Drosophila melanogaster: one gene and its partners. The protein of the gene in region 1 purifies or fractionates together with the protein of each later gene. This does not show direct contact. Each region holds a gene or a part of one and is shown in the gene's direction. Other genes may lie near its edges.

The links. The genes of interacting proteins can lie anywhere in the genome.
Region 2: the proteins of GstO3 (region 1) and dUTPase purify together in Drosophila melanogaster (affinity purification with mass spectrometry, with the first as the bait; one large-scale study listed by BioGRID). This does not show direct contact.
Region 3: the proteins of GstO3 (region 1) and RhoGDI purify together in Drosophila melanogaster (affinity purification with mass spectrometry, with the first as the bait; one large-scale study listed by BioGRID). This does not show direct contact.

The regions. Positions count from the first base shown.
Region 1 is NT_037436.4:8,516,502-8,521,472, forward strand, and holds GstO3 (glutathione S transferase O3), read left to right. Parts: upstream 1-2,383; 5' UTR 2,384-2,452; coding exon 2,453-2,480; intron 2,481-3,010; coding exon 3,011-3,708; 3' UTR 3,709-3,794; downstream 3,795-4,971. Other genes in the region: CG6765 (uncharacterized protein), read left to right, coding at 12-565, 699-757, 815-916, 971-1,157; se (sepia), read left to right, coding at 4,089-4,116, 4,173-4,741, 4,799-4,933.
Region 2 is NT_033779.5:11,009,742-11,013,325, forward strand, and holds dUTPase (deoxyuridine triphosphatase), read left to right. Parts: upstream 1-1,570; 5' UTR 1,571-1,699; coding exon 1,700-2,266; 3' UTR 2,267-2,394; downstream 2,395-3,584. Other genes in the region: Nup154 (nucleoporin 154kD), read left to right, coding at 1-18; Art8 (arginine methyltransferase 8), read right to left, coding at 170-1,156, 1,213-1,251.
Region 3 is NT_037436.4:19,926,818-19,934,120, forward strand, and holds RhoGDI (RhoGDI), read left to right. Parts: upstream 1-1,925; 5' UTR 1,926-2,091; intron 2,092-3,997; 5' UTR 3,998-4,013; coding exon 4,014-4,197; intron 4,198-4,270; coding exon 4,271-4,380; intron 4,381-4,445; coding exon 4,446-4,560; intron 4,561-4,873; exon of another isoform or gene 4,874-4,920; coding exon of another isoform or gene 4,921-5,025; exon of another isoform or gene 5,026-5,095; intron 5,096-5,164; coding exon 5,165-5,361; 3' UTR 5,362-6,113; downstream 6,114-7,303. Other genes in the region: Grasp65, read left to right, coding at 1-62; CG8004 (uncharacterized protein), read right to left, coding at 738-1,463, 1,537-1,620; CG46462 (uncharacterized protein), read left to right, coding at 4,921-5,025.

The DNA.
Region 1 (4,971 bases):
ATTCCCCTCAGCTCGGGACTACTATGAAGCACCACACTTTGAGCACGTGGTATCCTCTCGCCTGGCAGCCACACCTCCGCCACCACCACAGCAGGCACCACCATCACATCCGCCGACCCTTCGACATCCGCACAACTTCCTCACCATCAAACAGGAGCCGACCGACTGGAGCAACAACCCACCAAACGCCTCCAGTGCGTCCAACAACAACAATCTGGAGGAGTTGCCATTGGCTTCGCCCAAGCAGCCACTCGACTTCAAGATGTCCGCCGTGAAGCTGGAGGTGAATAGGGATCGCGGAACACCCTCCGAGGAGAGCGAGGAGCACACGCTGCGCGACTATAACAACTTCAAGCAGCTGCTGGTCTGCGAGATCTGTCAGAAGTCCTTCGAGGACACCAAAATGCTGGTCCGTCACCTGGGCACACATGCCGGCGATCCCACGGGCGGCACGGAGAGGAATCTCCTGCCATCCAGTGCCAGCGGGAGCACCACATCCGCCTCCAGCAACCTCGCCCTGCGATCTGTTAAAACCTATGTGCCAAAGAAACGACGTCGCGTTTCGGTGAGTACTTGGACAGCAACTCATCCCTTTAATAAATCCAAATCTACTGAAGTATGATTTTAACTCGTAGTGATGATCGGTTACCAATATCTATTGGATGTATTAAAACCAGATTATATATTGTGTTTTTCAGCAACAGGAGAACAATATGGATCACGATCACGTAACTCTGCTCTGCGATTTGTGTTCCACGTAAGTGTTTGGAGTTATAGAAGCAAAATATATACTAACTCCCTTTCCCATGTGCAGATCCTTTGATACGCCGGCGGAGTGGGTGCGCCACATGAACAGCCAGCACACGGAGATCGAGTTGGCCATGTTCAACAGCAAGAAGGATGGCGAGCAGAAGGGGTGTGTGTCCTAAGGGCTAGCAAAAGCACACTGATGAACTCTGTTCACTTGCAGCCAGCAGCCACCGCCACCGCCGGCGACCAGCAGCTCTTCCACAGTGTCCAACAGCCAAATGCAGCCAAAGTATCCCAGCTCCACCGCCACCAGATCGACGCACTCCCTCATGCTGCACAAGATGAGCAACAGCGATGCAGTGGCCACAACCACATCTCCTGGAGCATCCACCTCACCGAATGGCTAAGGCCAGCCATAGGGATCAACTTCAAAGAACCATTGGACCATTGGCGAATGAAGCTGAAGGATTCGAAACCGGATGCCCATGGATAAATTTGAAAACAGCCATATTCTTCATTCATTTTCAAAAATCTCAAGTCGTTCCAATAATCAAAAGTGAGATGGATGTTTATATGCAACAGCAAGAACCGTGATCAAAATGCAACCAGTTTGCATATTTTATAGAGCAACAAACAAAATACAAATTGCGAACAAAAAAAAATTAACGAAACTATAAACGAAACTTAGAATGGAAATCGTCAGGCAACGATGCAAAACAAGACAAAGCAAGAAATTCAGAAACGAAAGCAAAGCAACATTTAACTCCAGTGTGTAGAATTTTTTTAAGTGTACGTATTTACTTAGTTTTAGCTATTTATCCCATGTATTTACCGTAACAACAACGCGCAATTGATTCGGGAAAAAAAACGATACAGTTTAATCATTAAATTTTAATGTTTACCATTTGCGGACATTTTTAAAATGAATTAAAAACTAAAAATTAATCATCCACTTGAGTTTTCAAAAGGATGCATCAAAAGAAATCCCATTTGTAGGACCAAAAGCAGCGAAAGGATCTTTTTACATTTTGATAAACAATTAATTCCAGCAGCAAGTGTAGTTGTCATTATTTATTACTTTCCAATTTGGTTTTTCGAATGCAATTACTGATAACAACTATTTATCGCGACTCAATGATGTCAGCAACTCTGTTGTATATGTATTAATACTTTTTTGTATTTTTTGTAAGGCATGAACGGAAATTTCGAGAACTTTTTTGTACATAGATTAAGTTTGATTTCGAAAGTCCGCCGATCGAAACTTTTTACGAAAAGTTCATAAACTTAAAACTCTAAATGTACGTAGTAGTTCCGAGGTTCAATTAAAAACAAAAATAAAGCTCCCCCCAAACCATGTAAAAACAAAATATATCTATATTTACAAACAGGCGTGATTATTAACAAACTAAGTAGATGTACTATGTATAATGCGGAGGAAATGATTGTCTCTTCCCACAAAACAAATCGCAAATGTAGTAAAGCGTTTTAAATCGAAATAAACGTCTGCGATGAGAAATCGTTTTTAAAAGCTAACGAAAACTAAGAGTCACGTCGCAAAAAGCTCGATTATTCTTATTCGCGTTAAAACACAAACAAAAAACTTTATATAAACAGAGCGCCGTCGAAGAGAAAACTCAGTTCGCATTTCACCGTCGACATTTCAACAGTTAAGCGAATTTGTTCAGTTCTGCAATTAAACAAAATGAGTTCTGGTAAACATTTGGCCAAAGGTAAGAGAGCAAGCAAAACCAGTTGTCGCCGCCGCCAAGAGAAACGCCCATGTCATTAGAGTGTTTATAGTATTATTTATAAAACAAGTTCTCCAACATTCAGCGTAATTATCGAATAACGATTTTTATATTTCATAATGTTAAAGAATATTGGCATGAATAACTGGGATTTTTTGGTTAAAAAGTTAGAAAGGTATATTATTTGGTAAATTTCAATACGATCTTTATTCTTTTACAATTGTAGGTAATGCATTAAATTAATTATTTGATTTGTAAAATTTACTTACATTTTTAGCTATAGCTTTCACCCCGATATCAGATAACCCATAATATTTACACTCTAAAAGATAACGTAGCTACAAAATTTGAGCTTTATCACGACTGGGCCCTATCAACATTAACTTAAGTGCAATGACTTGCTAAACAAATAATAATACAGGGGTGGATTTTAGGGTTCCACAAGTGACTCATGAAGTTATTGATTTATTTGTATAACCTAAATTTAACTGGTAAATAAATTCTATCTTTAGGTTCCCCCAAGCCTGTACTCCCTGACGATGGAGTCCTTCGCCTGTACTCCATGAGGTTCTGTCCCTACGCTCAGCGGGCTCATCTCGTCCTGAACGCCAAGAATGTGCCCTATCACAGTGTCTACATCAATCTCACCGAGAAACCAGAGTGGCTGGTGGAAGTGAGTCCGTTGCTTAAGGTGCCTGCCCTGCAGCTGGTGGCGGAGAAGGGTGAGCCCTCGCTCATCGAGTCGCTGATTATTGCCGAGTATCTGGACGATAAGTACCCGGAGAATCCGTTGCTGCCCAAGGACCCATTGAAGCGGGCACAGGACAAGATTCTGCTGGAACGTTTCAGCAGCATCACCAGTGCCTTCATAAACATCCTTGTGCAGGGCACCGGTCTGGAGGATTACTGGACGGCACTTGATATCTTTGAGGAGGAGTTGACCAAGCGGGGCACCCCATATTTTGGCGGCAACAAGCCGGGATTCGTGGACTACATGATCTGGCCCTGGTTCGAACGCCTCTCTGTAATCGAGTTGAAGTTGCAGAAGGAGTACAACTTCAACGAGAGTCGTTTCCCGAAGATCACCAAGTGGATTGCCCTCCTGAAGGCGGACTCGGTGGTGCAGTCCTTCTATGCCACTCCCGAGCAGCACAACGAGTTCTGGCGCACCCGCAAGGCCGGCAATGCAAACTACGATCTGCTGGCTTAGATCGGTACTGAAAATGAAACTATTATATAACAAAGGAGATTTAATAATGTTCTAAAAACAATAAAAACTAAAATATTTTATGTGACAAAGAAATGAATTAAGGCTAGAAAGGCAAGAATTCCGTTCCAGATTCACAGAACGTGGTTCGAAAAACTTAGTTCTTAAAAAGTTTTGTTTTAAACAAATATTTTGGAGCAATATGCAGGTTGCAAGGGGGCTTCACTGTATCCACATGGCTTGGTATGTGTGTCAGCCGCAAGCCACCAAGTTCAGCCGCGTAAGCGAAGCCAACCGGCGAAGGGCAGTGAGCTGCACTTTATAAATCACTCGAATGACAATCGCTATCACCACTTGCATCTCTGGACCCGAGCACGCACATCATGAGTAACGGCAGGCATTTGGCAAAAGGTGGGTAGAGCCAGGAAACCAGGATAATCATAATTGATAATAAATGCGCCCACTAGGCTCACCCATGCCGGATGTTCCCGAAGATGGTATCCTTCGCCTGTACTCGATGCGCTTCTGCCCATTTGCCCAACGGGTGCATCTGGTCCTGGACGCCAAGCAGATCCCGTATCACAGCATCTACATTAATCTCACAGACAAGCCGGAGTGGCTGCTGGAGAAGAATCCACAGGGCAAGGTGCCGGCTCTAGAAATCGTGCGAGAACCTGGACCACCTGTGCTCACAGAGTCGCTACTGATTTGTGAATATCTGGACGAGCAGTATCCATTGCGACCACTCTATCCACGTGATCCGCTGAAGAAAGTGCAGGACAAGTTACTAATCGAGCGATTTAGAGCGGTGTTAGGTGCCTTCTTCAAGGCATCCGATGGCGGTGATCTGGAGCCCTTCTGGAGCGGCCTGGACATCTACGAAAGGGAGCTGGCTCGACGTGGTACGGAATTCTTTGGTGGCGAGCAGACGGGCATTCTGGACTATATGATTTGGCCCTGGTGTGAGCGCCTCGAGCTCCTTAAGTTGCAGCGTGGAGAGGATTATAACTACGATCAGAGTCGCTTCCCCCAGCTGGTGAGCAGGTCCGTGTATCCCAGGAGTGATGAAGTACATTAGTATACCATTTTTCAGACCCTTTGGCTGGAACGCATGAAACGAGATCCGGCTGTGATGGCCTTCTACATGGAGGCCGAGGTTCAGGCGGAGTTCCTGCGTACACGGAGCCTGGGTCGACCCAATTACAATCTGCTGGTCAAGGATGCCTGATGCACTTGGTTTATTGAATTTTTCGCATGGAATGAATA
Region 2 (3,584 bases), on another chromosome or scaffold:
CAGCGGTTGTTGATTTAAAGCCGTCGGCCTGCGTTATTTTAATTAAATTTTTGAAAGTGCTGGACTAGACGTTAAGTTTGACTGAGATATATATTGTATTTGTATTAAACATGTTAAATAAATTGATTTCCCCACAGATCGTTGTTCGGATTCCGAGATGGCATGTAACTCATGAGGTGTCCATCATTTTTAGATGAGCTTCCGTCAGAATGCACTTCGTCATGTGACAGGAGCAAGGCACTGGATGCTCCTCTGTGTTGGGGTCTAGCAAATCCACCTCCAGATTGTATTTACGCATATCGGCAGCACTGCGCTTCATTGTGATTTGAAATGCAATGGGTGACTTCTCCTCCAGATTTTCGCAGGATTCCTCGGGCAGGACGACTACACACTGCTTCCAATGCGTTGGCGGGGATAGCGGCGATGTGCTTAGAACAAAATCTTCGCCAGGAAACTGTACATCGAACCAAATGCAGAAGCCCTGGTGATTGCCCGCCTTCTGGGCTGTTATTACCTCCTTGAACTGAATGCTGTCCAAATCGCTGGCTTCCACATCCAGCAGATTCATCCAGTGAAAGACGACGCCCTCGTGCAGAAGATCTTGCGGATTCAGCTGTGTAATCTCCGGTCGGGATGACTTTTGGGTTCTGAGTTTTCTGGCAAACGTGTCCATTTTGATGCCGTCCACGTTGTGCCAATCATCGAAGAGCGATGGTACCGAGCAGGGTGCCACGAAAATTGTGCACTCGCTGGGGAACAGGAGTCCACCCTCCTTGAGGAACTTGTCCCGGGCCAGGAGAACCGAGTCCAACATGCCCTCGTGCAGCAGGTAGAAGCCCATCCACTCGGACACAATGATGTCCACCTTTTCCGCCTCGGCAGGCAGTACGAATTCCTCAACACGCGACTGGATCACCTTCACCACGTTCGTCAGGCCGTTATCCTCAATCAAATCCAGCGCAACTTTGGTGGCCACATTGGATGCTTCTACGGCGTAGACCAAACGGGCTCCTGCTTTCGCACAAAAGGCGGACAGAATCCCTGTGCCGGCACCAACATCCATTACGATCTTGTCCTTGAACAGATCCTTATTCCCCAATATCGCATTGTAGTAGGCTTCTTGCCGAGGACGATCCTTCAGCATGAGCTCGTGGATCTGTAGTTTGGTCACTATGAGTACAGTTTCACAAGAAGATCTATAATCTTATTTACCTCCAAGTTTTCATACTCATCGAAATAAGTGTTCGCCATGATTTAAAGTTGCAGTTATCAACACATTAACATTAACGCATCAAGTGAATTTTTCAAAACAACGTGCTAAATAGAGGTGTGTTAATCAACTACAATAGTATCGATATATCGATAGGGTTGCTTATCAGGGTTGGTTGTGATTGGTCGTTTTACTTAATAAAATCAATTTGATTTATTTATTAATGCCTAAATTATTGTTTTATTTATTATTTGTTTAATTAAACTCAAGGCATAGTTGTATATATGTTTTTTAGAAATGCAAAGCTGACTTAAGATTTTTTGGTAGATTTTCGGCGATTTGTACTTTTGGTATCTTGCAACACTGGAAGTCCGCCAATTTTCCGACGCTGTGTTAAACCGCGTTATTTTCAGACCAGAATTCTGCAAGTAAGCTGAAAAAAGTCTCTGTACTTTCGAAGCATTCCTGTAATAACTCAATTTGCTCCAAATGCCATCAACCGATTTCGCCGACATTCCAGCTGCCAAGAAGATGAAGATCGACACGTGCGTCCTGCGATTCGCCAAACTCACCGAGAATGCTTTGGAGCCGGTGAGGGGATCCGCCAAAGCGGCGGGAGTTGACCTGCGCAGCGCCTACGACGTTGTGGTGCCGGCACGCGGAAAGGCCATTGTCAAGACCGATCTGCAAGTGCAGGTTCCGGAGGGCTCCTACGGACGCGTAGCCCCACGATCCGGGCTGGCGGTGAAGAACTTCATTGATGTGGGCGCCGGTGTGGTGGACGAGGATTATCGCGGCAATCTCGGCGTCGTCCTGTTCAATCACTCAGATGTTGATTTCGAGGTGAAGCATGGCGACCGCATCGCCCAGTTCATTTGCGAGCGTATCTTCTATCCGCAACTGGTGATGGTGGACAAACTGGAGGACACCGAGCGCGGCGAGGCAGGATTCGGTTCCACCGGAGTCAAGGATCTGCCGGCAGCCAAGGCGCAGAACGGCAACGGAGAAAAGGCTGCCGAACCGGAGGGAGCTGCTCCGGCTCCTGTTGCTACGTAAACGAGGAACTATTGCCGCATTCTTAATCCCTTCATGGTCACTATCAAAGAGTTTCATTCTGTATCCTTAAGTGAAATATGTTAATGTATTGGTATATTTTTATCTATTAAAACCGCAAATCTACGAAGAAATGTTTCCCATAGTGTCATTAGATTGACTGGTGGATGGTGGATCACTAGATTTCCTGGATATGCATTGCATACTTTTGGCATGTTATTTCTAAAAGGCTTTTATTTTTCTTTATTTAAAAAATTTGTGTTAGGTTTTTCAGGCAGCTTAAACAATTATTCCTCACTTATGAGGTAACTGGTAAATAACTTATATCCTTTGAATACTTTTTTATGCACGCAATTTCTGAGCTAAATATTTATATCGATTTTCATCAAGCCAACCAATTTTAACTAAATGTCTTTACTAAGGACCTTTTACTAAAATGTATCAGGAGTAATGTTATCGAAACATACATAAATTATTTACAATTCATTTCCATATTTAGGCAATGAATGGGATGTGTCTTCATTTTGGCTTTTTCAAAAAATTGCACTGACCATCCATCCAGAATTATGGATCTAGTTTAAGGTTAATATACATACATATGTACAGCTGTAACTTGTATTGCATATTTAAGTAGGCATGAAGGGCCGCGAAAGGTTAACGCTTGGTGCTAACTATATTCTAGTAACTAGAAGTACTTACTTCCAACGGAGTATGTATACAAACCGCTTTAGATCTTCATAAAAAAGGAGTTTGCTGAACAGAAGTCGAGCAATTATGTTTCTGCAAGAGGAAGCCGACTTGGCTTTATGGGTTTTCAAGTGGCTAGGGATACTTGAACCAACCGGACAGGCGCAGTGAGTTATGACCGAGTAATGAGAGCCAAGAAGCGCCAACCGGCGATGGCCCACAATATCAGTTTGCGTGTCTCAAGTGCATTGCTGCACAATTTACGCGGCCGATTTTAATAAATTCAATGACTCCAATTTGTAATTAGACGCTGGAAGGTGCGCTGCGTGCTTTTAATTGTTTTGCAGCCATCCTTGGTTGCCTTTTGGCGCAACGGTTCCGCTTGACCCGCGACGCATCGAGCGCTCCGGAGGTCAGCCGCGTGCCCATAACGCCCCAGTTGGAGGCATTCGCCGCCCACCGATCTGCACTGTGCAACATTCAACCAACTTGCAGTGAGAGTTGCGTTTGGGTTTGTATGATAACTGGTATAATTTATTTGCTTCAGCTTGTGAAAAATAGCTATAGTTCATTAAATGTATAAAATAAATCAAGTTCATTCTCATCATGCCTATTTTGTAGAAATATGCTTCTG
Region 3 (7,303 bases), about 11 Mb from region 1:
CTGCTCCGGCGGCAGGCAACGACGAACTATCCGGACCGGCAGTGAATCAGGCTGGAAACTAAGACTTCTACTGGGCCAACTGCTAATGGACCAACTGCTAAACCTGGACAAATTGTTAAGCTTTTATTTTCGAGAATCATCTGATTGTTTTGTATGATTGCGTTAGCAAATATCACAAGTGGCGCGATTGGTTCGGCCATCTGCATGCAAAGATGTGTACATTGCATTCATAATAATAATCTAAATTAATTATAACAATAAATCAATAAAACTATATGTGTATTTAAGGTCTTTACATAAACGAGAGTTCAATTTCTTCAAAAGTATGAAAAGGAAAAGGCAGCAATGTTCAAAAATCAAGACTATTTTTTTTTTTGGTTTGCTAAGAAAACAATTTATTTGATGTATTATAGCAAATACTTACACAATTTTATTAGCAGAAAAGTTATTTGCTGCAAAATAAATGAAGTAAAGATCGTTAGAAGTATTTTAGAATTCCATTTAAACAAACTTGCAGATTGAGTCACTTGTGCAAATGATATTCACATGGATTTTTGGACATTAATGGCAGCAAAATCACTAGAACAACTTTTTTTTTTAAATGCTAGTAGCAAAATAATTGTGACTTACGGCGACGATTTGTTTTAAGGGCATTTAGAATTGCATATATAAGCGGTTAAAAAGAAAGGACAAGAGCAACTTAATTGATAAGCATTTAAGGCAACGACTACGTATAACTAATTTGGTAGGCACCTCGTCTGAAAGTACTTCTCATCGACGAAGCGACAGAACTCGACCAAGTGCTGGAACTTCTGCACCGTTTGGGCCAGCGCCATGTTCGGCAGCGTGGTGGTCAGAATGCTGAAGAGGTGGCCGAAGGCGATGGCGTCCAGTTCGCAGGGCTGATCGCCGTAGAAGAATGGCGTTTCCGGCGACTCTTTCAGCTTGTATTCGAGCGTCTCACAGCACTTGGCCACCTTGTCAATGACGCTATCGATGTCCAGGTCGTCCCACTGATAGACCTTCAACAGACGCAGCGCGTTCCGCCGCTTTCCATAGTTCTGCATGTGATTGAGGGGCCAGGGAAAAACGACTCCGTTCCTGGGCGCTGTGACCTCTTTGTAGACGCGTTCGTTCTTGAAGCTAATGTACAGCTCAGCCATGGTGAAGATGTTCTCCACCAGCGACACATAGGTGCGCATGTCGGCCTTCTCGTCCTCGTCCTGCCAGCTGCCAATGGCCAGTTCCTTCTGCTCCACAAAGTTCACGATCGGCTCGAATTCGGCAAAGATGAATGCTCCTGCGCGGATGAAGGGCAACTTGGTCATCCTGCCGCCCGGCGACATGTGCTCCGCGTTGGCACAGGACCGAATCAAAAAGGGGAGGTTGCACATCTTCAGGTAAGCCTTCACAGCAAGGCAACTGGCGTTTTCCGGCAGTAGGATCTGTTCCGCTTCATACGGCTGTTTTTTTTAATGCACATTAATGAAAGGTTAATGTTAGTGAAGATTCTGGACCTATAAACCAGGACCTTACCTGGTAGAGGGTGGCGTCTTCGGGCCAGGGCTCGGCGGACAATTTGTCGGCCGTTATTAGCTGGCTCAGGTACTGGGATGTCATTGTAAATTAACGGAGTAAATTGTGTTTTTCAACTTGCACACCGAAATCGCCGATGAAGTAACAAGCAGCTGTTTGTCGGCGTTGCCAGACTGTTGCAGACAATGACCAAACAGCGATTCTTATTAGAAATTGCATTTCAGCAAGATTCGTTAAACTAATTAATAATTTCTTTTTAAACCCATACTTACAAAGTATAAAATAGATTTAGGGGAAGCTGTTTCAAAACTAAAAACTTTTTCGAAAAGCAAGTATTTTTGGACAGCAGTGTGAACGGATGACTTCTTCAAGTCCATCTCGCGTTTTGGTATTCTGTCCACCAAAGCATACGTTCACACTTGTAATTCTTATTTTATATTATTTGCTTTGTTTAAAAGTTAGTTATCAAAAGTTGTTAAAAATATAACATACAGTTACTTTTCAGTGATTAATTTTCAGAGATCGTACTATTTGATTAATTTCGCATATTAAAAGGTGAGTGCGCGTCGTTGCCAACTTGCAACTGTGTGTGTGTGTGAGTGCGGTGCCTTCCAATGCATTTTACATAAAAAAAATATTTATAATATTATTATATTAATTTAATACAAGCTGGCATTGATAGCAAATGTATGTAGTTGGGTGACTGCAGGCCAAGAACCACTCCCAAAAATTCTACTTGAAAATCAGTGACGATTCATGTGCCGGCCTCAGTGTGAGTGTGTGTGTGTGTGAGCTGGTGTGTGTGATTCATTCGTCTGGGGTTTTAACATTCTTCGTGCACATTTCTTTATCAAAAAAAGAGAAGAAAAAAAAGTGGCATGGTTCGTACTTTTCCCTGAATTATCCCCACACTTTGTCTTTGGCGGGGGGTCCTCTCTCTCTCTCTCTCTCTCTCTCTCTCTGGCAAGCCCTCTCGCTTGCACTTCCTTCGACGCTGGCACATTTGTTTGGAATTCAAATTTTCAGTTCGGTCAGATTGTTCTTGAAATTACCTTTTCTCACCCATCCTTAATTGTTGCGATTGTATTTATTGGCCCAAACTTGCGTTGTTAGTCCGAAAATTTTTTGTTTATTATTTTTTGCCATTCCCACACAAGCACGGAGAGAAATTGTGAGTGCTTTTCATATGCCTAATTTGGAAATATTACGATGAGATCTAAAAACCGATACTAAGATTCAAACTATTGATTTTTAAGCACCAATAATATTTACATTTACAAGTAAAAAACAGATAGATAGATAGATAAATATTTATTAGCTTTGAGAATTTCAAAATATGTTTTGTATAAAATTGAGAAATACATCATTATTACTACTGTATGTACACATGGGCCTGCAAAATCGTTTTGTATAGACACAATTTTATTACCTCAACAACAACTCGATGTCAAGTAATAACAATTCAATTTCATGTATTTTTTTTGCCCGGGTACACTGCATATGTATGTACATATATATAAAGCCAAATCTGGAGAATCGAGAATTATTATTGGCCCAACAACATTCGTTGAAAATGGACAGAGAGCTGGCGACGTGTATTTAGATAGTGGAAAACAAAGCAAGATAACAATAAAGCCATTTTCCGGGGGGCGGTGGGTTTGGCTTTTTGTCGCCAGTTCCCAGTTCTGGTCAATATTATTCAATGCCGATATCCGCTCTCTCTCCCTCCGTCGAGTTCGCCTGCCTTATCTAACTGCCGCTCCGTATTTGGTTGAACCTTTTTTTTTACTTTGCGAGCGGACCAGCTGCAGGTCGAGCGCCCCTCTCTGCCCCGCCCCCTAGACAGAGAACACGTCAGTTCATCAATGCGTTAATAATTGAAATTTAATCAATATTATTGAACGGGCTTATGAAGTGGCTACATTTGTTCGCAACGGAGGCACTCGTGTTGCCAAAAAAGTAAATAAACCCGCTTTATGGCCAGCGAATGATAACGTAATCAGTAGCGAAGTATATGGAATATGTTTGCGATCGTTGTTATTTGAATTTCAATATTTAACATTGTAATTTGTAGAAACAAATGTACTAACTACTCAACTATATATTTAGATGGCAGGTTTTTTTTTCGAATTTCTTCCCTGCATTGTTAAGTTATGAGCTCAACTCTCCTTAGGGCGACAATTTTCAGAAGAAAAAACACTCTTCCTACATTTTTTGAATGAGGAATACTTTCATACACTCCGATACGATGTAGCAGATATGGTGGCGCACATGCCATTAAAATGGAGGCATATACATATGTGTATAAAACAACATCATTATCGTCAAAATGTTACTCACACTACTAAAAATATGCCTATGACCCACAAGCTTCACCCAGAGAAACCGACGCATACTAAGCAAAATCCGAAGCAATATTTAAATGTAATTGATTGATAAACAAACAATTGCCTTTGGACAGTTCTAGGTTAGCAATCATGGCCGAAACAGAGACGAAGCACCATCCCGAGCACCACGACGACGATGTCCACGATGCCAACTACCAGGCGCCGCCGGAGAAGACCATCGAGGAAATAATGGCCGCCGATCAGGAGGATGAGAGCTTGCGGCGCTACAAGGAGGCGCTCCTGGGTGCCGCCCAGACCGAGAAAATTATTGTTGGTAAGGGGCGGTTAACTTGGCCTCTGAAAGTGGAGGGTGCAGAATATACTAAAGCAATAACATTTTTACCCAGAACCCAATGATCCCCGAAAAGTTATTGTAAAGAAACTGGCCCTCGTTGTCGAAGGACGCGACGACATGGAATTGGATCTTACCGGTGACCTTAGTCAGCTGAAAAAGCAGGTAAATATCATTAACCATCATCATCCATTCGACTACTTTTGTTAATCAAAACCCTATTGCGACAGCTTTTTGTGATCAAAGAAGGTGTTCAGTACAAGGTGCGCATTGATTTTATTGTGCAGCGTGAAATAGTCCATGGCCTTAAGTATGTTCAAAAGACTTCTCGCTTGGGTGTTAATGGTGAGTATTTAAACATGACATTTGTATTTTTAATTGGCAGAATATAGAATAGATTTACACTCTCAATTCTATCAACATTATATGTCTTTACTTAGGGCAAAGCAATTATATTTCTTTTTTGTCCTACCCTAATTTTCTATTAATTGATTTATTTATTTACTGACCTAGTGCCCTAGTATTGTAAGAATAAAATTAAATTAAAACCGGGTCAAAAGATACTTGTTTTTAGTTATTTTCCATACGTTACACTATGCGAGCACTTCTAGGTCTTCAATTTTCCGTGCTGACGCGAAATCGTTAGTATTACACCTCAGTTTTTGATTGACTTTTGTGCGGGCTAGTCGAGTTTTGTTTCTAGCAATGGGTAAAAGCTGGTTCAATGGCACAACCATACTGGTGGGATTTTGCAGTGCTGCCTATATCCTTTTTTTCACAATTGCCATACTAACTTTAGTCATGTGTTGAGAATAACTTGTATTCCATTATCTCCAATGCCAAACCCTAATTTCGGAATGTATAATTTTTTAAGTTGTGGGTAAGCTGGTGCAGCCCATCCGCAAATGTGTATCCTTACTAAACTGACTGTTTTCGCATTACTCCATAGTTGACAAGATGAAGCATATGGTTGGCTCCTATCCGCCGAAGAAGGAGATTCAGTTCTATTTGACGCCCGCCGAGGAGGCACCTTCAGGCACATTCTCCCGCGGCACCTACTCGGTCAGTTCGGTCTTCACGGATGACGACAAGCACATACACCTGGAGTGGGACTGGACCTTTGAGATCAAAAAGGACTGGGCCTAATTGGCACACCGAACAGCACACAACAAACACACACGACACACAACTTACAACATACATCATACGCTTTTTGTTTTCCCTCAAACATGCCTTGTAAATGAGTTTAGTTTTGTTCCAAAAGTGTAAGCGAATTTTTCCAAAAGTGTAATTGATCGTCAAGTATTTTTGTTAACGGTATTAAATTTTAAATATTTTTGTAACTAAAGTGTAATGTAAAGCCATGATAAGTATTTTTGATACCCTATTTGCAATTGGAATGTGTGCAGATGAAGAGCATTTTTCGCCTAAGTCCTCCTCAATGAGAGTCAAGTCAAAACCAAGTCAAGTCACTAGGCCAGTCAGTCAGTCAGTCAGCCAACCAGTCAGTCAGACAGTCAGTCGTTTGGTTCTTAATGCCATTGCCTATGTTTAACATACATTTTCAAACAGATTAACAATTGAGTAATTAACTTTAAGAAAGTTGTTTGCATTTCGCTGTGTATTTCAAATTGAAGAATGGAATAGTTTATTGTAAGAACAAGTCGCCTCAAAACTAAAAAGAAACCGATTAAAATCGTGCAACACGAACTGTTAAATGCAACTAAAGCTGATGCTTTATTATGCATTTGAAGTTTGTGCAACATGGAGTTACTTAAATCCACATTATTCTAACTATATATCTCTGTGTATTTTTTGTGTACAACATACCATATATGCGAAAGCTGATTGAATGCAACCGAAGAGCAATAAAGAATAAAGGATACATATTTTAAAATAAATGCCTAAGTGAGCGAATTCTTTTTCCATGATATGGGTATCCCATAAATTATAGTGGCAGTGTGTGCACAGATTTCTCCGTAGCCAAAGATAAGTTGACTTCACACTTTATAATGCTTATCAGCTTACATTGCCAAGGGGCAAACGTCATAAATTGTGGCCAGCAGAGCGAGTATTACTCATCCGCCCTGTGAACGGTCACCAAATATTTTTCAAGGTGTACAAAAGAGAGAATTTGTGAAACACACTTCTCTGTTTACATTCGCAACCAGCAACAAGTGGCCAGCCTCTTGTTGCGCCAGACATTAGCAGCATGTTGCCCAACAATCGCCGCTTCAGAACAGAAAATAATAATAACCGCATTTTATATTCCAACGCACATTTGTCTTCAGAGTCGCGAAAACCTGCATGAATAAGCAAGTTACTTTTTCGGAAATTGCTATAGTTGCCAGCAGAAAAATGGTGTAATTTAAGAAAAACAAATCATTTGTGTTTTCGGTAAATGGCCTGGGGCATTCGTATGTTTTTTGGGGTCCTTTAAGGGTGCGATTTTCCAGGATGTGGAACAAAACAATCAGAAAAATAAGTACACACTGTTTTCATTACGTGAGAAGTAATTACAGGTAAGCAACTAACAAAAACTTACATGTATACATAAGAGAAGTCTTGCTTGTTTCGCCATTTTCATATATTTCCTCATAGCAAAAAATTATATATACTATATCTTTTAATTCACTCAAATGGTTTAGCAGATATATGTCTTTTGGTATGGCCGTTCAGCTCGACTACTCTTAACATTACCTTTGAAATACCAATATTTTTGCATCAAACAGGAACGTCTATCTCTGTCCGTCGAGGATGTTTTGATTGACAGACGGCCCGTCGAATTTCAGCCTTCAATCGCATTGTTCAATCCGACATTCCAACATTCCGCACTCCCCATTGTGTGGCAATGTGGCCTTTTGGCCCAATGCTGCCAATTGTCCCGCCGCTGCACCTTTATGGTCCATTGCATCCGGGCTGGGGCTCAATGAAATTTGCAGCAAAGCTGCTGAGCCAATGGAAAAAACAGGAGCCGTCCAGAATGCGGATAATAAAGTAGAAATGAAATGCAATCAAAGAGCAGGCCAGAAAGCGCAACAGGCAAAGTGCTCACACAGCACACGCAAGCGGAAATGCGAATGGTGGC